3 linked regions of the Drosophila melanogaster genome follow. The protein of the gene in region 1 interacts with the protein of each later gene in a pairwise test. Each region holds a gene or a part of one and is shown on either strand. Other genes may lie near its edges. The genes, in order: Tango10, mRpL54 and CRAT.

Region 1 (3,756 bases):
TGTGTTCCTTTGTATTTGGACGGGGAAAACAATGTGAGTTTGACCGATTTATCGATTCCTATTTCAAAATCAATTTAATCGCAATAGATTAGGTGTTGAATATGGTTTGTTAGATGTGCGTCATACAGAATTCGTATCCATTTCATATGGCATCTTTTAATCGTAGGTGCGGCCATTGCAAGCGTATTCAGCCGCTGTGGGAACAGCTGGCCGAGATCATGAATGTGGATAACCCCAAGGTGATCATCGCCAAGGTGGACTGCACCAAGCACCAGGGACTCTGCGCCACGCACCAGGTTACCGGCTATCCCACACTGCGCCTCTTTAAGCTGGGCGAAGAGGAATCGGTCAAGTTTAAGGGCACTCGCGACTTGCCCGCCATTACCGATTTCATCAATAAGGAACTGAGCGCACCCGCTGAGGCGGATCTGGGCGAGGTCAAGCGCGAGCAGGTCGAGAACCTTAATATTGGCAAGGTGGTTGACCTTACCGAAGACACCTTTGCCAAGCACGTGTCCACCGGCAATCACTTTGTCAAATTCTTTGCACCCTGGTGCAGTCATTGTCAGGTAAGCCGAATACAATGCCTTCTCGCCTAAAATGCCTAACTGTGGCATCCTTTTCGTACAGCGTTTGGCACCCACGTGGGAGGACCTGGCCAAGGAGCTGATTAAAGAGCCTACCGTAACTATCTCGAAGATCGACTGCACCCAGTTCCGTTCCATCTGCCAGGACTTTGAGGTCAAGGGGTATCCCACTCTTCTCTGGATCGAGGATGGCAAAAAGATTGAAAAGTACTCGGGTGCTCGCGATCTGTCCACGCTGAAAACGTACGTGGAGAAAATGGTGGGCGTGCCACTGGAGAAGACCGCTGGCGAGGCCGGCGATGAGAAGGTGGTTATCGAGGAGGTTGCCGGCGAGGAGGACGCAGCCAAGAAGCTGACTCCACAACAGCTGACTGGCGAGGACGAGTTCGACCAAGCCATTGCCGAGGGCGTTGCCTTCATTAAGTTCTATGCTCCGTGGTGTGGACACTGCCAGAAGCTGCAACCCACCTGGGAGCAGCTGGCCACGGAAACGCACCAGGCTCAGAGTTCCGTGAAAATTGCCAAGGTTGACTGCACGGCGCCGGAGAACAAGCAAGTGTGCATCGACCAGCAGGTGGAGGGCTATCCAACTCTCTTCCTTTACAAGAATGGTCAGCGCCAGAACGAGTACGAAGGCAGCCGCTCACTGCCGGAGCTGCAGGCCTATCTGAAGAAGTTCCTCGGCCACGACGAGCTCTAAAGCATCTGCCGGTTCACAGGGAATCAGCAGTAGTCGAATGATCAAATAATCGCCCGCCAAATTAATTGTAATCGTAATTTTTCTTTCTCCAGCATAAACCTCTGTGAGGAGTCCGCATTTAATCAATATATCCAACAACACCCAAACGACAACGCGCTAGCTGAAATTGATAAATTCAATCTGAGTTCCTTTTACTTTTTTTTCGTTTTTGTCCCTCTTCCTTAGCTGTTTTTGTAGAATTTTTTTTATACTTATTTGTTTAGTGTTTACGTAAATGGGGCACGGGACTGTGTGCGCGATGATAAGCCATTTAGCGAACTTACATTTCAATTTTAAAGTCATTTTGAGTAGCCTACGTTTTAGGAAAATTTGTCAACACAAAGCTAATAAATATCAATTGGAAAACAATAGGCTGCTGTTTAAAGTATTTTATTATTATCTGTACAATATGGTTTATTTGAATAATTGTTTGGGAAAAACCACTATATAATGTTCTGAGAAGAGCTAAAAAACAGATGTTTGTGGGTTTTTCGAATAAATAGGAGTATGCAAATTTTTAAGCTGACTTATTGGCGTTCTTTAAATATTTGTTTAACACACTTTAAAATCCATTTAGATTTTGATGCCACTTAATAGTGGAGCAGACAGGTTTTTTTGATTTGAAATTTTAGCAGCGCGCGCTGTTGTCGATAACAATTTATCGATTACAGATCTAGTCGAGTCATCGAAAACGGGAAGTTTCAAGTATTTTAATTTGGGCTGCCAGATCTACGTAATGGATAAATGTATTTATATGGCACTTAATTAAATGTTGTGTTATTTTTATCTAAAATTGCGGAACCCGGGAAAATACAACTGAAAATGAAATTGCATTTGTCGGATCCACAAGAATACAATTATTACGGATGCGACGAATCCATCCATATATCGCATATGAAGTGCCATCGGTCTGCCCTGCTGTTTGCAATCCATGCCTGGCACACTGCTGCTGCGATATAAATCGTATCGTGTCTGCATCTGTCTGTCGTTGTTTTTGCATTTGAAGTGAGACTTTTTGCCGTGTCTTTGGCTCGTCCTTACGAAGCCGTCCCGTAGGTTGTCCTTGTGCACGTTGTCAGCGCAGAACAAATCCCTAGCCGGGTGCCAGTCTATACCTAATATCCCCGTTTCCCGATGAACGACAACGGTAACGGCGGAGCAGCGCCAGTCTCCGGTGGAGTGTGCGGTGTTGGTGGTGCGCACGGAGCGGCTGGTGGCGCTGATGGTGCTGGTGGTGCTGGCGGTGGCGGCGGATGCGGGGCTGGCGGTGGAGGTGCTGGTGCAGGTCCGGGCGGGGGTCCCGGGGGCGGAGCAGCTGCTGCGGACCTGGCTGGCGAGGCAGCTGGAGGAGCAGCAGGTGGTGATGCAGCCATTAATAACCAAGCTAATGCCAATGGAACCAGCGAGAGCCCAGCGAAAGGACTTAATTCTAGCGAGGATCTGGACGCCAAGCGGCGCAAGTGTCGCGAAACGGAAGAAGGCCAGGATGAAGCCAGCACGGTGGGTACAACGCCAAAAATGTGATCTTATTTGCCAGATTACCAGCCAAGTGTGTTATCAACATTTATTGATTTTGTCCACTATGAGTGGGGACTAGCTCAGACCATAGTATTAAGTCAAGTTGATCCTGGGAGAATGTGCCCTAATCCTGATCAAATCTTACCCATCTAGATGATCGATGCGAATAGTGTGCTCAATAAGATCGCCAACCTGTACGCCGAACAGCTGATGTCGGACATAGTGCTACTGGTGGACGGCAAGGAGTTTCCCGCCCACCGCGTCATCCTCTGTGCCAGCAGCGACGTCTTTCAGGTGATGCTAATGAATCCGGAGTGGAACGAGTGCAGCAAGCACGTGATCGAATTGCACGAGGAAGCCTGCTGTTCGGCGGTGTTTCCGCAGTTCATCAAGTACCTATACGTTGGCCAAATCGAGGTCACGCTGCAGACGGTGATGCCAATGCTGGCGCTGAGCGACAAGTACAATATACGCGACCTGATCGATCTCTGCGTGGACTACATGAACAAGCACGTGGCCAAGGCGGCCACCAGCGGTTATCTTGTGTCCTGGCTGCAATATACGCTCTCCTTCACGCCCACCCACAACGATCTCACCGAAACACTCAAGCGGTTTCTCAAATGGAACCTCGAGATGGTTGCCGAGTCGCGGGACTTTGTTGAAATGGACCCGGCCATACTGATACTGCTGTTGCAGCAGAACGATCTGGTTGTCACCAGCGAGTACAAATTGTTTGACATCCTGCAGACGTGGCTGCTGCATCGTCGCGAACAGATGGAGGCCACTGGCAGTGGCGGTTTCATGGAACTGATCGAACAGACTGTGTCCCACATACGCTTCGGCATGATGACGCCGCGCCAGCTCTCACACCTGCTAATGGATCCGCTGGTCGAGTATCACAAAGAGTTCCTC
Region 2 (3,239 bases), on another chromosome or scaffold:
ATCGACTGGAGCAAAATCGTCTCGTACAGCATTGGCAAGGAACTGAAGACGCAATAAGACCAGGAGGTGCAAGCGGAAGAGGAGCGGACACAGTCGACAAAGCGGCCCAATAGTCTTCCACTTGCCATGGCCAAGCGAGCATAGGAACCGATCACCAGCATTAACACCACAGCATCCGAAACGAAGTAGCAGGAATACGAGAAACGAGGGCGGCCAGGTGCAGGTGCCTGCCGAAAAAGCAAATGTCTGTAATTGGCTATATACATACGAACATATACCTACTTATATATATATATACGGCCTGTATTTATACTGTGTTATACAACGACGAAAGTGCGTAAACATAACTACACATATATCGAGTACGATCGGAGACGATTTGATTGCAAGGATTTGGATGACTTTAGCCTGACGGTGAACGATGCACTGCCGCCTCGTCTACGTCACGATCGCCACCAATTGTCGCCTTTATCGTTTAAGAAGAGCATTAAACGCGGATTTTATCATGTCCTCTGACCTATGTATTATTCTAATTTTAAACGAATCAAGCTCGAGATCTGCGCTCTCGATGAGCCAGTCAATTCTTCGTGTCTTTGAAGACCAACCAGCCGACTCTCGACTATTTTAAGTGGTATCATTAGGAGCACTCATTCAAGTTTTTCGCTTTCCCGATTGTTCACAAACCAACCACCTAGTATGAGCATGAATAATAACTATGCTAAACCACTGATCATTTTTGCCAGCTCTCCATTGACAAACAATAACTAAAGACTTTGATTTTATAAAAACAATAAATTTGTAATTAAAATAACATAACTATAAAACATTTAAGATTGCTTGAATTAGTCAAATTTAAAGAGAATAAACTAATTGAATCGGACATTCGGATTGTCTTCACTTTGAATGTGTTTCTGGTTGTTGATCCGATGCGGATAGAATGACATTGGAATCAACTTGCTGGGCAGTTTGTTTGGTTATACTCTCGGGCAGATCGAAGGTTAGTTCCTCGGATTTTTTAAGCAAAAATCGTTTCTCTGGGTTGAGTTTTGTTTCCAGCTCCAGTCGATCGATCAGCCAGCCTCTATCCGGCTGATTGGACGCCCAAAAGTATAAAGTTCCTGCAAATATAAGGTTGGTAAACGCCAAAGATTTGCTTTCAAAATCGATGGATCTACCTTTATCCTTGCTGCCCCGCACAGCCACCTCACAACGCGCCTCCTCCGCATTGCAATTGTTGTTGGCGTTGGACAGATCGATGCCAGAGTCCTTGATGGGTTCACCCAGGAGACCAACTGCTCCTCGATGGCTCCGCAGTGCCTTCAAGGCCAGTTTGTAGTACTCTGCGGATTTCACCCGATCCTCCATCTTCCATTTCATGTACATCACAGCGGATATGGAGGCCACCGCACCGTAGACACAAATATTGCCCAGTGTTCGGTTCGACGGAAACTTGAGTCCAACCATCTTGCTAACGCTTTTTTATTTACAATCCAGCTGCTGTTACTTGTGTAATATACCGTATAGCCGGCGTCGAATTAGCGATGACAGCTGGTCGATATCGTTATGTGAAAAGGCTTATTAAGACCGAAGTCCACCTCTAAATGCATTTATATGCAAATTATTTGCAGAAAATATAACAACATCATCTATTGTTATGTTGTTTTAGTGACAATTAAGTCATATTATAAAATTGCTCATAAAATTGCTTTTCATTTAAAAATAATTTCGATAGTTATTTGTTTTGAAAAATCAGCTGACTGGTCGTATACTTTATAACCAGGGCTGCAGTGCCACACTTATAGTTAGCAGATTATACAACAAAACGCACAGTTTTGTAAATATCTGTAATTTATCATTTGTTTTTCTATTAAAGTGACGAAAACGGATTAAATAAAGCACATAGCAGACATGACCAGCCTAACCGCAGTTTTCCAGATGGCGAGGCAGCGATTGATAGCCCCAGCGATAGGAAACTGGGCACGTTTTTATGCTGCAAAACCGGCGGCGCCAGGTGAGCCTCCACATCCAGGTTAAATAGTTAACAACTAATAGTAAATGCATTCCACAGCGGGCAAGAAGAAAAAGCTTGGCAAGCTGGGTCCCATCATGGAGAAGAAAGTCATACCCGTGGAAACGGATGCCAACAAATTGGTGAACTATGTGTGCGGAAGTAACTACATGAAAACAGGAGAAGATATCAAAGTAAGTTTACCCTTTCAATTCCTCAATACACTCTTCTGTACGAGTATCTTTGCTGAACAGATCAAACCGGATTCGGAATATCCCGACTGGCTGTGGACGCTGAATACGGAAGGCATAGTTCCGCTGGACGAACTGGACCCCAACTCCAAGCAGTACTGGCGCCGCCTGAGGAAACTGGCCTTGCGGCGCAACAATCAGCTGTCCAAGCTAAAGAAGTTCTAGAACCCATAGCCCTAGGTGTTATCGTTGATTTTGGAGACACAGCCGACCGTCACAGCGGCCCATGTTGTTTGCGATGCTCTCCTGAGCAACAAGTGTGCAAACACCATGTTATTTTGCTAAAAGCGAATTGCAAATACATTTATTGCACCGTCTTATCATAAAATTGAGTCGCTATAAAAGTCATGGAGTTGCGGGAAGTGTTCATTTAGTGGTCAAGCAATGTGGAGCGTATCTGGTTTAGTTAAGCTGCTCCTCGGGGTAATCCTGATGGCAGCATCATCTTCTGCACAAGGCAACTCCTCAAGTATGTAAAAGTATAACAGATTTGCATATTTCGAGGAATATCAGTGAAATCCCCTTGCAGAGAACGTTGTCTGCTACCAGGGCACTTGGTCCGTTTATCGACCTGGTCTGGGCAAGTTCGGTATGGAGGATATTGATCCGTTTTTATGCACCCATCTTATCTACGCCTTCCTGGGCATCGAGGAGACGGGCCAGCTTCGCGTGATCGACGCCTATCTGGATCTTGAGGAGAATAGTGGACGCGGAAATATCAAGAGTTTTAATGCGCTTAAGCTAAAGAATCCCGTGTTGAAGACGCTCGTCGCTGTGGGTGGTTGGAACGAGGGCTCCAAGCGATTCTCATTGGTGGCCCGTGATCCCTCGAAGCGTGAAAAGTTCGTGGATGATGTGGTCAGGTTTCTGCAGCGCCATGGTTTCGATGGCCTAGATCTGGACTGGGAGTATCCTGGCCAGCGTCACAGTCTGGATAACGAGGATCGCTCGAACTATATAACCTTTCTAAAGGAGCTGAA
Region 3 (3,756 bases), on another chromosome or scaffold:
GTGTTTATAGTAATTTTGAAAAATTTAATTTTTAATTTAAGAAGAAAAGTGACAGAATTATAACATTCAGATACTTTGTCTCCTAATAACAACAGGTACAATTTTTCGGTCTTTTTATAAATTTAGATAAGATTTAGAAAGGATTACAAAATATTAAAAAATAAATAATAATCATTTCAGGTTGAAATATTTACCAAATCCCGTAAGGACGCCCGAGTAAACAACCCTATATATTCCTTAAGTGGTACTCACTGAGATTCCTGCTCGACATACTTCATGATGTTCACCATCGAAGTTCTGGATTTTTCCCGCAACCACACCCCTATGATATCCCTAAGGATATCCTCCAACTCTGGCAATTTTCCTTTAATGCCTCGATACCCAACCGTCTGGCCAGCGTTTTGCGTGAACTTCGTGTTCCGGCACTCGTCGTGCCTCAGGACACAATCCCTCACATTGAATTCAGCTAGGTAGGCCAGTTCCGGGTTCCACTTCAAGGTGCCCATCCGACTGGCAGGACTCAGTCCGTTGAACCCTCCTTTGGCCACGCTATCCCTCAACTCATTAAATCGCCTTAATAGGAATCTTTCCACCTTTGGGCTTATCACTATGAGCTCAGCGTCCAGAGAGCACTTGTCGTGCAGTTCCTGAAGATATTATTGGTAACAAGTTAGGATAGTAACGCATTTTGGAAACAAAAATAACCCAGAACTTTTAGTATGACATTTTGTAACGAAGGTATACCTCTCAAAAGCCAATCAATTCGAAATTAATATTCGTCACTAATCAATTTTATCAACAAATTTTATGACATTGAAAATTTGAAAAAGTCCTAAATTAATTTATATTTGGCTTTCTTTCAACCATTTATACCTTATATAGTGTATGCGAACAAAAAATGTTGTTTTGTTAATTTGAATTAGTTGGTTGTTATCACGTGGCACACATTTTAGTTTAGTAACTTACGATTGATGCGTTGCAAGCCACATGTTTGAGTTCTTTGTGGCACAAGGAGGGATCGCAGTAGTCCGGTAGTTCCGTTGAGGAGCTGTTTCCTGGCTCCTCTTGACCTTGCGAACCTCCAGGAGATGGGTGACCAGCTTCGGTGACCGCTGGACTTGGTGTCGTAGTGGCTGCCGTTTGAATGGTCAAACAACTGGCAATCAGAAAAACGACAAGGGCCAACATTTTTCATCCAGAGACCGTGGCGTATTAACGTTAGTTTTTCAAAACGTAGATCAAACGGTTCGGACTGTGAAATCACAATTTGCAAAGATCAAATGATACAGCAAAACCAATGGTAGAATTTTTAGCAGATTAAACATTATATTGATAGTTTGGTTCGTCTCATAAAAAGCCGGAACAAATTATTGGGCAAAGTTTTTTAAAGCTTAATTTTGGATTTCCAAAAAAAAAAAATTGAAATCTTAAAAGTTCACGTTATTCTACTTAATAATATTAACGTTTTGAGATTATCATTCGTGCCGAAAATTTACTAAAGTAATTTTTCTGCAAAGAACCCCCCTAGTTTTTTATGAATACTAGAGCTGGGAATTCATCGATATTATTCACAAAACGTACGCTAGCTTATCATGAACATATATTGCATACTAATAGTATTGCTTGTTTTCTAAATATTAGCTTTAAAGAAGTTTTGGAATTGCTTGTGATTTTAATCGATTGTTATCCATTATTGATAGCACAGTTAAACCAACAACAGGGAGTGCTTATTTACTTGTTGCTGTTTGACAACAGCTGTTTCTTGTTTTGATTTGAACATACAAACATATATAAACATATATGTTTATATAGAATCTATAGATGTTAATTAACCGGAGCAAAACAAGAGTGAGGTAAACTTAAATTCTTTATTTGAACTGATGGGCAAGGACAGTCGAACCAGTTAAGGATTATATAAAAAGTGGTTATATATCTAGATGGTAATCATCGTGTATTTCGCTGGTATGGTATGGATATTAAGAGACGCACTCTTGGGAGAGCGAAAGTAAATAAACCGGTCGCTGATAGCATTTAAGTTGGGCTCCACTCCACTCCCACCCTTCTGCCTACGTGGACTGCTCTTTCGATGGCCAGTTGATTGGCAACTGCCGTTTTGCTTGCACTTGCCTCCTCCGCTGGCTGCTAATCGTGAGCCATTAGTTTATCGCTCCTTATAGCTAGAAGTAGATTATGTACAAATATCAAAGGTTAATTCAGTGCCACAGGCACACCAACCGGTGGTTGGACTTTAAAGTAACACTCGAATACCATTTCTCCGTTTTGCAGCCCAACGTCTGAGCGAATCCTCGAGAAAACCGAAGCCGAGATGAAGTTCCGTGGCAATGGAAAGCTTTTGTGGAATTTGGTAGTGCTCCATATGGAATGCTTGTGATTCTCCGTTCGGTAATCTGTATCCCATTCGATTTCCAGACCAAGAACTCCTTGGCCCAGCAGTCTCCAAATGGGATCGCCAAGAAAGTGCTGCCCGCTAGCAGCTACAGCACCGTCCAGAAGACCATTCCCTTGGAGCAGCCGAATCTGCTGAAGTACCACGTCCTGCCGCTGGAGGAAACGCTGAACCGCTTCATGACCACTGTGGAACCTCTCCTGACGCCTGAGGAGTTTCAACGGCAAAAGGGAATCACCTCCGAGTTTTTAAAAAAGCAGGGACGCGAACTGCAGCTGCTCCTGGAAGAAACCGGCAGCAAGGAGAAGAATTGGCTGGCCCACCGCTGGCTGAAGGCTGCCTATTTGACCTATCGAGATCCAGTCACCGTGTTCGTGAGTCCTGGCATGACCTTTCCCAAGCAAAACTTCAGGGACTCACGTGCTTTCGTGGACTATACCGCCAGGGTTATCTATGGACTGGGAGAATTCAACGACATGGTGCACGCCAACAAAATTCCGATCGTTAAAATGGGCAAGAACGAGCTGGACAACAGCCAGTTTGGCAAGGTATTCGGCACATGTCGGATTCCCAGAAGGGGCACCGACGAGATCGTGTACAATCCCGACTCCGATTATGTGGTGGTGATCTACAAGAATCACTTCTACCAACTGAAGATATACAGTAAGGAGGGAAAGCTCATTGCTGCACCATGTCTAGCTGCTCAACTCGAGAATATCGTCTTGAAGGAAACGCAAGTGGGAGTTCCTTATGGTATTCTGACCACCGACTCCAGGGACAATTGGGCGGAGGCCTACGAATATCTGGTTGAGACTCCTGGCAACCGGGATGCCCTCAAGACCATTCAGGGTGCTCTGTTCACCGTCTCACTCGATGAGGGTACTATCCTAAAGGAAGGCGAAGAGACCGACGAACTTATCCTATCGCTGATCCATGGCAGTGGCAGCAAGATAAACAGCGGCAACCGTTGGATGGACAAGACTATTCAGCTGGTGGTAAACCCCAATGGAAACGTCGGATTCACTTATGAGCACTCGCCGGCTGAGGGCCAGCCCATTGCGATGATGATGGACTACGTGGTGCAAAAGATGTAAGTTGAATAGGGCGCATGTGGTTAAAAACAACTTTATATTTATAATTTATATTATTTTAGGAAGGAAGACCCTAGCTTCGGGCAATCTGGCTCACAGGACTTTGCTCCTGCACAGAAAATACAGTTCTCTTCGAGCAATAAAAGTCTAGAGAAATCTTTGAACGTCGCCCAGGAAAACGTGGATAAACTTGCCGATGCTCTCCAAATGAAGGTTCTGAAATTCAACGGCTTTGGAAAGGATTTCATAAAGAAACAG

The links.
Region 2: the proteins of Tango10 (region 1) and mRpL54 interact in a two-hybrid assay, tested with the Drosophila melanogaster proteins (one large-scale study listed by BioGRID).
Region 3: the proteins of Tango10 (region 1) and CRAT interact in a two-hybrid assay, tested with the Drosophila melanogaster proteins (one large-scale study listed by BioGRID).

What each region holds. Positions count from the first base shown.
Region 1 is NC_004354.4:11,718,202-11,721,957, forward strand, and holds the start of Tango10 (transport and golgi organization 10), read left to right. Parts: upstream 1-2,043; 5' UTR 2,044-2,460; coding exon 2,461-2,826; intron 2,827-2,997; coding exon 2,998-3,756. Other genes in the region: prtp (pretaporter), read left to right, coding at 167-569, 631-1,287.
Region 2 is NT_033778.4:21,059,005-21,062,243, forward strand, and holds mRpL54 (mitochondrial ribosomal protein L54), read left to right. Parts: upstream 1-1,784; 5' UTR 1,785-1,908; coding exon 1,909-2,011; intron 2,012-2,068; coding exon 2,069-2,202; intron 2,203-2,262; coding exon 2,263-2,424; 3' UTR 2,425-2,583; downstream 2,584-3,239. Other genes in the region: cpa (capping protein alpha), read left to right, coding at 1-57; CG15653 (uncharacterized protein), read right to left, coding at 895-1,118, 1,176-1,464; Cht8 (chitinase 8), read left to right, coding at 2,644-2,728, 2,789-3,239.
Region 3 is NT_033777.3:6,371,911-6,375,666, reverse strand, and holds the start of CRAT (carnitine O-Acetyl-Transferase), read left to right. Parts: upstream 1-1,641; 5' UTR 1,642-1,821; coding exon 1,822-1,853; intron 1,854-2,092; exon of another isoform or gene 2,093-2,190; coding exon of another isoform or gene 2,191-2,207; intron 2,208-2,286; coding exon 2,287-2,365; intron 2,366-2,430; coding exon 2,431-3,497; intron 3,498-3,560; coding exon 3,561-3,756. Other genes in the region: CG42564 (uncharacterized protein), read right to left, coding at 253-647, 967-1,188.